3 linked regions of the Nothobranchius furzeri genome follow. The protein of the gene in region 2 interacts with the protein of the main gene of each other region in a pairwise test. Links are inferred from orthologs where the notes say so. Each region holds a gene or a part of one and is shown on either strand. Other genes may lie near its edges.

Evidence for each region.
Region 1: the proteins of sp4 (region 2) and nrf1 interact in binary tests that used the Homo sapiens proteins (3 or more experiments, as listed by UniProt). The two-hybrid records come from large-scale screens. The link is inferred for Nothobranchius furzeri from reciprocal best matches to the Homo sapiens genes SP4 and NRF1.
Region 3: the proteins of sp4 (region 2) and pou2f1b interact in binary tests that used the Homo sapiens proteins (3 or more experiments, as listed by UniProt). The two-hybrid records come from large-scale screens. The link is inferred for Nothobranchius furzeri from reciprocal best matches to the Homo sapiens genes SP4 and POU2F1.

Annotation. Positions count from the first base shown.
Region 1 is NC_091741.1:47,346,067-47,349,714, forward strand, and holds part of nrf1 (nuclear respiratory factor 1), read left to right. Parts: intron 1-688; coding exon 689-803; intron 804-941; coding exon 942-1,068; intron 1,069-1,707; coding exon 1,708-1,848; intron 1,849-3,648. UniProt on the Homo sapiens protein: Transcription factor that activates the expression of the EIF2S1 (EIF2-alpha) gene. Links the transcriptional modulation of key metabolic genes to cellular growth and development.
Region 2 is NC_091751.1:28,246,444-28,250,734, reverse strand, and holds the start of sp4 (transcription factor Sp4), read right to left. Parts: upstream 2,917-4,291; 5' UTR 2,746-2,916; coding exon 2,739-2,745; intron 2,500-2,738; coding exon 2,429-2,499; intron 1,720-2,428; coding exon 1,387-1,719; intron 1,306-1,386; coding exon 108-1,305; intron 28-107; coding exon 1-27. UniProt on the Homo sapiens protein: Binds to GT and GC boxes promoters elements. Probable transcriptional activator.
Region 3 is NC_091754.1:25,731,943-25,735,590, reverse strand, and holds part of pou2f1b (POU domain, class 2, transcription factor 1b), read right to left. Parts: intron 3,504-3,648; exon of another isoform or gene 3,356-3,503; coding exon of another isoform or gene 3,325-3,355; intron 3,059-3,324; coding exon 3,002-3,058; intron 2,581-3,001; coding exon 2,498-2,580; intron 1,841-2,497; coding exon 1,745-1,840; intron 1,148-1,744; coding exon 965-1,147; intron 876-964; coding exon 755-875; intron 662-754; coding exon 582-661; intron 429-581; coding exon 255-428; intron 1-254. UniProt on the Homo sapiens protein: Transcription factor that binds to the octamer motif (5'-ATTTGCAT-3') and activates the promoters of the genes for some small nuclear RNAs (snRNA) and of genes such as those for histone H2B and immunoglobulins.

The sequences.
Region 1 (3,648 bases), on a different chromosome or scaffold from region 2:
CGAGTCATCTGTTTATGTTCTGTATTCGTTCAACTCCAGAAAGTGGTTCACACTTCTTTACTTTACTGTTTTACGTGGCAACGGTAGCTCAGGGATTAGGAGTTCAGCATTGCAGGTTCAAACCCATGTTCGTGCAGTCACGTTAAGTCATTGTGTGCTTGGGCAAGGCATTTCACCATCTTACCTGCTGGTGGCACTCGGCAGCCTCGCCTTCGTCAGTGTGCACCAGGGTGTGTGTGTGTGTGTGTGTGTGTGTGTGTGTGTGTGTGTGTGTGTGTGTGTGTGTGTGTGTGTGTGTGTGTGTGTGTGTGTGTGTGTGTGTGCTTGTGTGTGTGTGCCTGTCTCAGAAAGGCGCTACACACGTGCAGGTCATGTTTTATTTACCTTGATGTAATACTACAAATTGACCAGCGGGTGGTGCTAATGTTCTTTGTATTGAAGCTGTGCAGATCGATAGACACTTCCTGAGTTTCTTCTGGCACATTTTTCATCTAAATCCTTTTTTAAAGAAAGCTCTTCATAAAAACGAGAAGCTTGTGTATTAACATGTTCCTCATACCAAACAGAGAAGTCAGGGGGAAGAAAACGCAGAATTACTTTTGTAAAATTTAGTAAATTTGGAGTCATTTCTTTTACAACCAGTAAAACTTGCTCCCGTTTTTTTTTTTTGTTTTTTTTTTTATATCAGGACCAGTCGGCATGGCAGCTGCTGCTGCTGTGGCAACCGGTAAAAAAAGAAAAAGACCTCACATCTTTGAATCCAACCCCTCAATCCGCAAGAGGCAGCAGACTCGTCTGCTCAGGTGAGTTTCTCCGAGAAGCCCCCGCCATCTTTTAAACAAACAGTTTAACATGAATGAAAATAGCTTCAACCACCCGACATCTCTCATGTGCAACTTTAGATCTGTTAAAGGAGGTGAAAGATGATGGTTTGTTTACAGGAAACTGCGAGCCACGCTGGATGAGTACACCACCAGAGTGGGCCAACAGGCCATAGTGTTGTGTGTGTCTCCATCTAAACCAAACCCTGTGTTTAAGGTGTTTGGTGCTGCTCCTCTGGAGAACGTGGTGAGCGTCTTTAGCGTTGCACTGTGACATTTCTCTATTTGCTGGAATAACTGTGACAAAAGCCATTATGGTTAAAGCTTCCTTCTGGAGTATTTCTCTTATCCAATGGCACCATCTAGTGGCTGACAAGCGTATCACACAAAAACGCTGTTGCTCTGTTTTTTAAGATGGCGACTTCACGTTTCTGTTTATAAATGTGCTTCTGTAGCCGACAAACAGCTAAAACATGTTGTTTTACGAGTATTATTCTCATGTCATGTTGTGTTCTCGTATATTTATATTTTAGAGACTTTCTTGTCTGTGAAAAGTTCATCAACGCTGCATCAGCCGAGGTATTCCTTAAATGTGAAGGGTCTAAGCGGTAGTCTAACGCTATTGGTTAGTTCTGGTCGGCGCTCAGTTTCCTATTGCGGGGAGCTCTGCCGGGCACAGGGTGTGCTTAGCAAAAAAAAAAAAAAAGACGTATTGCTCATATTATATCACAGTACATGATAAGATAATCACTTTTACAGATCTCTGACAAATCGTACATTATTTCTGAAAGAGGAAAACTCCGGAAAGCAGCTTTAATGGTGTTCTGATCCTGTCAACATCCAAAAACTCCAAAGGTGTCTGAGATGATTGTGTCCTGGTGGCTAGGTGAGAAAGTATAAGGGCATGCTGTTAGATGACCTGGAGAACGCCCTGGCTGAGCATGCTCCTGCATGTGGAGAGATGAGCTCGGAGCTGCCCCCCCTCACCATCGATGGCATCCCCGTCTCCGTGGACAAGATGACCCAGGTGAGACCTCTTTACAATATAAGGTACATAGCCAGAAGGTGATCAACTGGTCACATTTACCATTAAATGGCTGTTTTTGTTTTGCAGTGAAATTCTAAATATTAAATTAATGCTACCAGTAGGGGGCGCTAGCTCCCAATAAACCTAGAAAAATACAATCATGTTTCATTTGTAGGATAAAAAAAAGCCTAGACAGTGAGAATAAATGCTTATTTTATAGTTTATCATCACTGCCTAATGTTCTTTTTCCTTTATGTGAGCAATGATTTTGTTTGGTAAGCATATGAATAAAAGTTAGAGTGGCTCAGGCACATTTCTGATTCGTGAGGGGTGTCAGCACTTTAACATAAGTAAAACCTCCTCTTTCCCAGAGAGGAAGTGCAGAGTTGGCGGCTCTTCCACTGCAGCATTGGCACCACTGGCTGCCTGAGCCCTCGGTTCACTCCAGGGATGCCGGCTTGTTTACTCTACCGTCCCCGTGCTGCTGACGCACTCTGGATAATCATCAGAGTAGCCGGCATGATGGTGGCCCTCAGAGATGGCCCACAGCCCAGGGAACGTGGCAGCCAATCCCGACGCCGGAGAGCTCCTGGGAGGCTGAGTGTTAGTCGGTGCTTGTTTTTCTGGAGCTTGTAGGATGAGATTAATGGGAGTCATTTGTTGCCTCATTTGCCATTTAGTAAAACCAGGTAGAACGGTTTGTTCTAAAGAAGAAAAAAAAACTAAAAAGATTGACAAACAGGACTTCTTAATCTGTAACGGATTTTGGATTTTGCACATACAGCCAAAATCCCCGTCCCTGAAGTTACATGGAGCATGTGTAGCAGGTGATCCCAGGTCTAGCCTGAGCCCATAATTACCGCCTAGCCTTGTTAAGTTCAGAGACCCGGCAACATAGCTGCTCTCCCAAACTCTGATTGGACCACTGCTTTGAGGATTAAGATTGGGGGTTGGGGCAGTCGCCATGAAGGCAACATGCCACTTAACTAACTAGCCACTTTAATTAGGCCATCTGGCCTCACACGCAAACATCCGCATCACCCACAGGTGGAAATGCAAGAATCCCTTTGCTACTAAGTCCTTGTCCTTGTCTAATCCAAGCTGCCATCTCACTGTTTGCTAAGTGGGAGCTGTAATACATCAGATGCAGTTTCTGTTTGGTGATTAAGCTTTGAGCCTCCATTTTCTAGCGAGATCCATTTTGTCGTGTTTCGTCGTTTAGTGCACTGAGATGCTGAGTGCATGTAGCTTGTGACTGTGAGTTGGAAAGGGGGGTCTAGCAGGCAAGAGGAAGGGATTTATTTCTCCCAGAACCAAATTTAGCCCATGATGTCAAGGTAGGCAGACTCTGCAGAGACTCATGGTGCAATATAATCCCCCAGTGATGCATGCATATTACCAGGACACGGAGGACATTGGCTCTAAACCCTGCTGCAGTGTGTTGGTGGTTGTGCATCTGAAAGTGTTAATGCCAGGTTTCTGAAATATGGAGAAAATTAGAAGATCTTACTTTAAAAAGGCTATACATGACTCATTTTCATCCTTAGATTTTTCCTAACAATTTCTCAGTTTGATCACAAAGCAAACAGACCCATGGGGAATGGACTGGAGCCTTTGTTGGGACGGGTTCTCGTGGTGTCAGTTTGGCTCCTCAGGCTGGAGCCACAGCCATAGATCGGCCCTCAAATAACCACGGTCTCCTCTTTTGGAAATACTGTTTCTATTTGTGGGCCTTGACCACCTCAGCAGGTGCACGATCAATACATGTCTCCTTCTGCAGACCCAAGTGGGTGTGTGTTC
Region 2 (4,291 bases):
TGACCCCATCCTGACCCTGTGGTTGACCTAGAGATGAATAAAAAAAAAGATGATGACAGTGACAGTAACAGCTGTCAGCTATAATCTGACAGATTCTTTGTTCTCACCCTGCAGACCAGTGATGGTGAGAGGTACACCCTGCACCTGGACTCCAGCTGTGCCCAGTCCTGCGATGCTGACTGTCTGCACACCTGAGCCTGGGTTGATCTGGGCTGTGCTCAGTGTTAATGGGGCTCCACCGAGGGAAACCAGCCCTCCACCACCGACTGCCGTCCCACCAGCCACCGGGGCCAGAGTCAGCTGCTGTGGCACAGCTGTACCCAGGCCACCCTGCAGGGACACTCCTCCGGGAAGTTGCAGCGTCTGCCAGGTGATCTGCCCTGAAGTTGACAGGGTCGGAGCACGAATGAGAACCTGGGCTGGATTCTGGAAAGCCTGGATGGGCTGCAGGGTTTGTCCCGGAGCCAGCTGGAGGGTCTGAATGTGTTGAGGTTGCTGCTGTCCCTGTATCTGACCCTGACTCTGAGCCTGAGGCTGCAGCTGGATCTGCTGCACCAGCTGGTGTCCCACCTGGCCAACAATCACCTGCTGGATGGCTCCTTGTGTTTCTGACTGGTTCTGGAGTCCGTTGGCTTGGTTCTGGCTTTGAGAGTCAGCTTCGCTGCTCTGCACTTTGGTTTCAACTGATGCGTCCTCGGGTCCAGCAGAAACCACCTGACTCCCATCAGGAACGCCGTCACCTTCGGTTGGAGTTGGTGCGGATCCAGCTGCAGCAGGAGCTCCACCAGACATGGCTGTTGTCACCATCTGGCTTCCATTAGCAACAGAGAAGGTGCCATCTGCTGATTGGATGAGCTGCACAGCCCCGCCCCCTCCAACATTATTGATCACGGGCAAAGCCAGGGTCATGCCACCAAGGTTTATGGGGACCGTGGTCATAACAGGAGTCTGGGAGCCTTGCAGCGTCTGCAGCTGAAGTGGGAAAGACTGTGCAGGACGTATCTGGAGTGGGACCGTCTGATTGGCTGTGCTTGGTAGGATAGCCTGCTGGTTGGCCGGGTGGATGATAGCCTGGGTTTGGCCTGAGTTTGGGGTCTGGATGAGCTGAACCTGCTCAGGTAGAGACCCGATAGAAGCCGGCTGGGGGCTGATATGGATCTGCTGTCCATCTGCAGTTTGCAGGTGAGGGATGACCTGATACTGGACTCCGCCTCCAGCACTGGGCAGGTTCTGAACCTGAATGATCTGGAACTGCTGCTGCGGCTGACTGGTTGCTACGCTGTTCGTCCCACCTGCTGCCTTCACCTGCAAAACAGAAACAGTTTAGCAAACAGAAAAAAAAACAAAGATTTTCCCAAAATCAACAGATTTCTGAAATCCACTCACCTTGCGCCCCGCAGGTGAGCTGTCGTTGACCAGCGTGGTGGCCACTGTCACAGCAACAGGTTGACTCGTGTTCTCCTTGGCCATCGCTGGAGCTGCCGTGATGACCTGCCAGCTGTTACCTGCGAACTGAGCTGGGACCAGTTCCAGTTGCTGGGGCACCAGGGCCTGACCCCCAGCTGCGTCCACCACTATCTGACCTGCTTGTAGTTGGATCTGACCAGCCTGGACCTGGATCTGCTGGGCTCCTGCCTGGGCCCCTTCTGCTCCCCCCTGCCCTCCGATCTTACTGCAGGTGGCTGCGAGCAGAGCCAGCGGTGAGGGCTGAGAGGAATCCTGGAGGAAACGGAAAGAGGGAGGAGGCGTGATGGAGAGGAGTTCCAAGATGAGAAGCACAGACAACAAGAAGCAATAAGAACGAAACGAACAAAGATGAAACAAAGGTCACGCTATCGATTATAGATGAGAAAAAAGACAGAGTTATCGAGGGGTAGAGCAAAAGGAAACGGTGAGCTTAGAGACAGAGCTGTCAGTGGAAGTGGGCGGTATTACAGGAAGCGAGTGGGTGGGCGTGTGAGAACCACATTTCTCTTTTCTCAGAACACTGGAAAAAAATGCTGCCTTCTCTGCTTCTTTGTAAAAGAACTAGGTCGCAGGCGAATTCAGAAGCTGCACCTCTGACACTCAAAAAAGACCCAAACAACCATGAGAGCATGAGGAAAACCAACAGAGCCTCTAACGTTCGCCAGCAACCAAAGGTGTGCGTCAGTACGACCGCTGTGGCTAAATAATGTTTATATAACCTCTACTCAGTCTTTAAAAACGACTTTCACACAGAAGATCTTCATTCAAACACACGATTCCAAAGTACAGCTGCTGGAGTGTGAAAGCTTATTCATGAGGCACAGAAGCAGGAAGTGAAATCCACCAGAGAAACGCCCCCAGAGGTGTCTGGCTGGTTGAAAAAGGGGGGGTGGGGGGTTGCATTTTTGGCCTACAGGCAAGTCAGAAACTAATGAACTACAATAAACTTTCACGGCTTTACCTGTGATCCAGAACTTTTAGCCCGTTTAGATGCTTTCCCTCCTTCAGTTCCAGCTGATTCCTTCTTTGAGTCTGTGGAAAGAAAGTATAATTCCAGAACAGTAATTCTGTCATTCCAGGATTTCTGGAATGATTCTACCAAGTCAGAAGCAGGTAAATCTGATGTGGACTAAAAGGAGGTTTAACACAACAAAGGTGATCAATAAAGAGCAGAGACAGCATAACCTCATCAGTACCAAAGGGGCATGCAGCCTCCTATCTATCTGTCAGACGGAGAGAGGGGTGGAGACGGAGAGGGGGAGGGTACCTACCGCTCATAACGCATTAATATACCGGGAGGGAGAGGGTGTAGTTCGCGGTGGAAGGCCGGCCGGGTACAGAGGCGGAGGACGGCCTATACGTTCAGCTCTGGGCCGTAGCGGATCTGCCCGTTTGACGAAACCACCCACCAGCCAGGAAGGGCGGTGCCAAGCGCGTTTACACTCGACCTGCCTGAAAAATAACGGAGACAACGGGGAGTGCGGTGATCGTCCCCGCTCCCACGGACGCCTCGTAGCTCGTTCCTGCGTCCCTTTTCCCGAGCAGGCAGTCCATAAAAGAGCTAATTTGTGCTTGTCAGAGTGATATCTTCGGAGGAGTTGGCAGTGTGTGACCATGGAGGCCCACCCACTTCCATTTAAGCATCAGGACAACACCCTCCTCGCTGCTGCTGCCTGTCACCGCCGCTGCTCCCCCCGACACACGACACCGGGACGCCTCGTCGCCGTCCGTGGCGCATCGAACACCGGCAGTCCCTGCTGTTTGTATTTGTAGCGAATTCCCTTTAATTCGAGCTGAATTGATTTTTTAGGGGTTATTCGGGCTTTTGTGGGCGGACGCGCTCCTCCCACTTATTCAGATTGGACGAGCAGGCTCGGCGTGCGAGGGTCCAGATGGGAGTTGTATTTTGACGAAGCCTCGCCTTCTCGAACATGCGAAGGCGGCCGGAACTACAACTCCCATGATTCTCTAGCGGCTGTTACGTAGAGTGAAGGGGAAAGGCGGAGCCTGCTGTGTGATGGGGGTTGGGCGAATGGGAAAGAAGAGGCGCGTGCGAGAGGAAAGGAGAGGAAACATAAACATGAATGAAGCAGAGACATTTTAGTCAAAGAACCACATTACAGACAATATTAGGTTCGCCTTTGTCCGGAAAACAGCTTTTCATATACATACTGGATAAAAACCATGGATAAAAACAACACTTAATACAAAAATTAATAATTCATCCATCAAGTTCAACAGGAAACGAACAATTCTGCCTTTAACTAAAAATTAACCACAAAGTTAACAATGTAATGTTTATTTTTCTAATTAATAAAAAATAATATAGGCTATAGTTCAACATCAGAGCAGAAAAACGCACACATATTTAGGGTTCAAATGTCAAATAATCTGTTGTTGTTAATCAAATTTCTTTACAGCATATTATGCATATACCTGAAGCTTTGCATCAGCAAAGTATATCTTATTTATATATATTATTTGAACAACTATGAAAAAACTCATTTAGCATGCACTGATATTTATCTTTTTGGACTGAAATATTATTAGTTTACTGCAATGGACTGGCACTCTGTCCAGGGTGTACCCCGCCTAATTGCCCGTTGACCGCTGGATATATGCACCAACCCCCCGCGACCCTATGTGGACAAGTGGGTTCAGAAAATGGATGGATATTATCAGTTTAAACATTTGCAATGTTTCTGTAATTTATAATTTCTTTTTGCAAATTACTTGATTAAAGGTGTGGAACACTGAAAAAAACGTTTATTTCATTATTTTTAATTATAATCTGTCACTCTGATATTTTCCTGCAGACTCACCA
Region 3 (3,648 bases), on a different chromosome or scaffold from region 2:
CAATACTTTTTAAATGCAGGAACTCAATTTCTGACCTGCAGTCTAGCTTTGGTACAAAATGTCAGTTATCAAGTTAAAGTAATGAGGCATAAAATGACTTTTTACTCATAAATCATATTTTATTTAAAAAATGTTAGCAACATTATAGAGATTATTTTTATTATAAGGAATACTTAAAGCGATAAAACTAGCTCAACCATTCATACATTTCTACAAATCTACATGTGAAAACAGGTGTTTAAAGTGAAAAGAACCTGTGTGAAGCCCAGTTTGATGCGTCGCTGCTTGAAAGTCTTGGCAAACTGCTCCAGCTCCTCCAGATCGCTGGGCTCCTCCAGGGTGGGGGTGTCCAAGCGTTTGGGTGGTGTCTGACTGTGGGGCAGGGTCTGAATATTTGTGGTTGCCGTGGTACGGGACGGAGATGCAGGCTGGAGGGAGTGGAAACAGAACAAATATGACTGCTTAGAAACTCCTTAAAAGACAGGAGGAAACCTGAGAAAATCCATAAAAGTTAAACTTATTGGGAAAAAATCGTCAACGCATTTTTAAAGTTTAGACAAGATCGTTGCATCGTTACAAACCTGAGTTGCAAGAGTGATGCTTGGCTGAGTCGGATGGAGGTTAGCTTGGCTTTGAGGTAGTTGAGTTAGAAGACTCTGGGCTTCAGGGACAAAAACATAAAGAGTTTAAACAACAATTCATTCATTCATTTAAACCCTTTCTACCCAATTCTGCTGTTGAGTGTTTTGTTCACCTTGCTGGACCTGCGGCATCTGTGAGATGATAAACTGGGTGGGTTGCAGTGGCGTGGCGATTGGGTGGCCAGGCTGAACCAGTACAAACTGGGGTAGGCTGAGATTCTGTTGCTGAAGCTGCTGCAGGAAAAAATAAAAATAAAACACATTATGAAAAAGACCATGTACTGAGATTTACAGAAACTGACGTTTAAACAAATCTGGCTTACAGGGGCAATCTGTATGGGCTGTGACAGGGGCAGCTGGGTGATGGGTGTGGCTGCGGTGGCAGAGATGTTGGCCCCAGTGGTGCTGTTCTGCTGGTTAGCTGAATGCTGCTGCACGGCTGCAGCCAGGATCTGAGCTTGGGCCTGTTGGATCAACAGCTGTTGCTGCTGCGGGGTCAGGGACAACTGAACAACACAAAACAGGTGTTACTGTGTTCCTGATATAAACACAAATCAAGGAGACCATCCAGCCTTAGACTTCAATACCCGCGAAAAGTTCATTTGAAAATTATGCTTTGCTCTACACCTGATTTTTTTTCCCCATTTCTCATGACAAAGTATTCAGGTACACAGGAATTCAACTTTTCACAAAGGTATGGAAGTTTAGTTGAAACTTTGGCTCTCTCTTTATGAGAAAACGTAGTCATGCATCTGGGCCAGGCAAATGAGCATGTTGATGTCGTGCAAACACAAATCTACATGCAACATTCCCTCCTGCACAGCAGCAGCCGCTTTGTCCACTCAACTACAACAGGGCCTCAAGAAAACATGGAAACGTAGAAATGAAAAGTGTCACATGTCTCAATGATGAATTTTTCAAACACGCCACAACGTTTTCTGTTGTGTGGGAATCTGGATGTAAACTAAAAACCACAGGGATGAGCAGGCAAGCAGGCAGAGAAGACACCTATTCATCAGCTGCCTTTGAGTCGGGTTGAGGAATTATGGGATGCATGTAATGAGCAGGCCATAACCAAGAGCAGAGGGGGGACACACACTTACTCCAGCAATCTGTCCCCCGGCCAACATTAGCTGGGTTTGAGGCAGTATGCTCTGCTGGACGGAGGTCGAAAGAGCACCAGAGTCTTCCAACTTAGACTAGTAAAGGTAAAGTAGAGGGGGGGGGGCGCTTTATTTTGGTGTCATAGCAGTTATTCTAGCAATAAGAACAAGATGCTAGTGGCTTTAATTAAAAGCCTTTCAGGAGAATTTTTCATAAAGAACATCCTCCATAAAATAAGAAACTATAAATCTAATTTCTGTGCCTGGTCTGAATGTGCCTTTAGTCTTAAAGCAGTGAGAGGAATTTAAATTAAAAAGGCTGCAATAAAGTGGGTGTTTAAAATGTGCCGCAGCCTTCAGAGACAAGAGTGAAGTGAAGGGAGGGGAGAGTCGAGATGCTAATTAAAATAACTGTTATGCAGTGCATGTAAATTCTGCATAGATTTGCATATTCTTGGCCATCTGTTTCCGAGCAACCGCAGAGCAGCTAATTAGCATACAGGGTTGATTAATCTGCCTAGTTGCCAGGCGACACAGAGTGCCTGGCTCATTTAAATGAACTCTAAAGCTTGTGAATATTTGTGTGAACATGAAAGGACTGCACATTTTTTACATGTAGTCACATGATTTTTCTTTCCATATCTATATGTATGTGCAGCTGCAATTAAACATCTGCTCCACATCTGCTGCTTTAATTAAGCAGGAAAAGGAGTAATGAAGATAGGCGATAGTGTTGCTGTGTGCATGCGTTACCTGTGAGAGGAGTTGTGCATGTGCATTAGCAATTGTGGTTGGCACCGTCTGCCTCTGAAAGTCCAATCCATTGGTTTGGATTCCTGAGGAAAAGGAAAACCGAATGAAACGAGCTGGATGGAGAAAACAAGGAACGTCAACAACCTGGTGGAGGATTACTTCAGGAAAAAGAAACTGGATAAAACATTTTTAAAAGAAAACATATGCAACAGCTGCATTTATCTGTTTATTTAAATGTGGGGAATCATCACATTTGTATTCATTCTTAAACAAGAGGATAAAAACAGTCATGAAGTTAGGGAAAAGCTGTGCTGTGATGCGCCTACTTCAAAATATCACTAATAAATAAATACAGCTAGGTATTTAAAAGTCTATAGACACAGTGGGAAGCTGGTTTATGTATACATTTGGTTTATGCAGCATAAATGTTATAAAACCTGTTGAATGTATTTCAATATTCAACATTCTTTTGTGAAGGGGAAGGAGAATATTCAGGTCACTCACCGGGGTTCCCGTCACCAATTTCCATTTCACATTTAGTTTCTGACTTTACTTTAACATCTGAAAGAGCCAGAAGGATACATAATGAGATACAGTCACACCTACTGGTGATCTAACCTCCCAGCTTTGCATGATATTCCTAATATTTAAATCAGACCTTTAGACACATTCGCCCCTCAAAGCAGCAGAACCAGTTTTTGAATTAAACAGAGCAAACATACAAGCTGATTTTACAATAGAGTAACACAAATCCAGTGAGATCTGGATGTTAAAGCGACCGACTAAAATCCCCGCTGAGCTCCATTACAGCCTGATGAAAAACTCACCCGCTCTCGTTCCACCTGTATTTTCCAGCATGGTTGCTGAACCTGTCAAGTAAAGCTGCCTGGATTGGGCAAGCCCACCGACAGGATGTCCAGCGCCGGCTTCTTCCTCCCACCCCTCCCTGTTTTCACTCTCCGCTGGTCAGCAGTGAGCACAGTTCAATGCAACCACAGGCGCACACAGACACGGTGGCGGTGTTCACCACACGGTCTGCTGAACAACACTGGGATACGAACACTGGGAAAGCCAACAGGGTTTAGGCAAACAGCTCTCCTTGCCTCCCTCTTTTCTTTTCTTATGGCTCAGCCCCTTTTTCTTGCACTGTG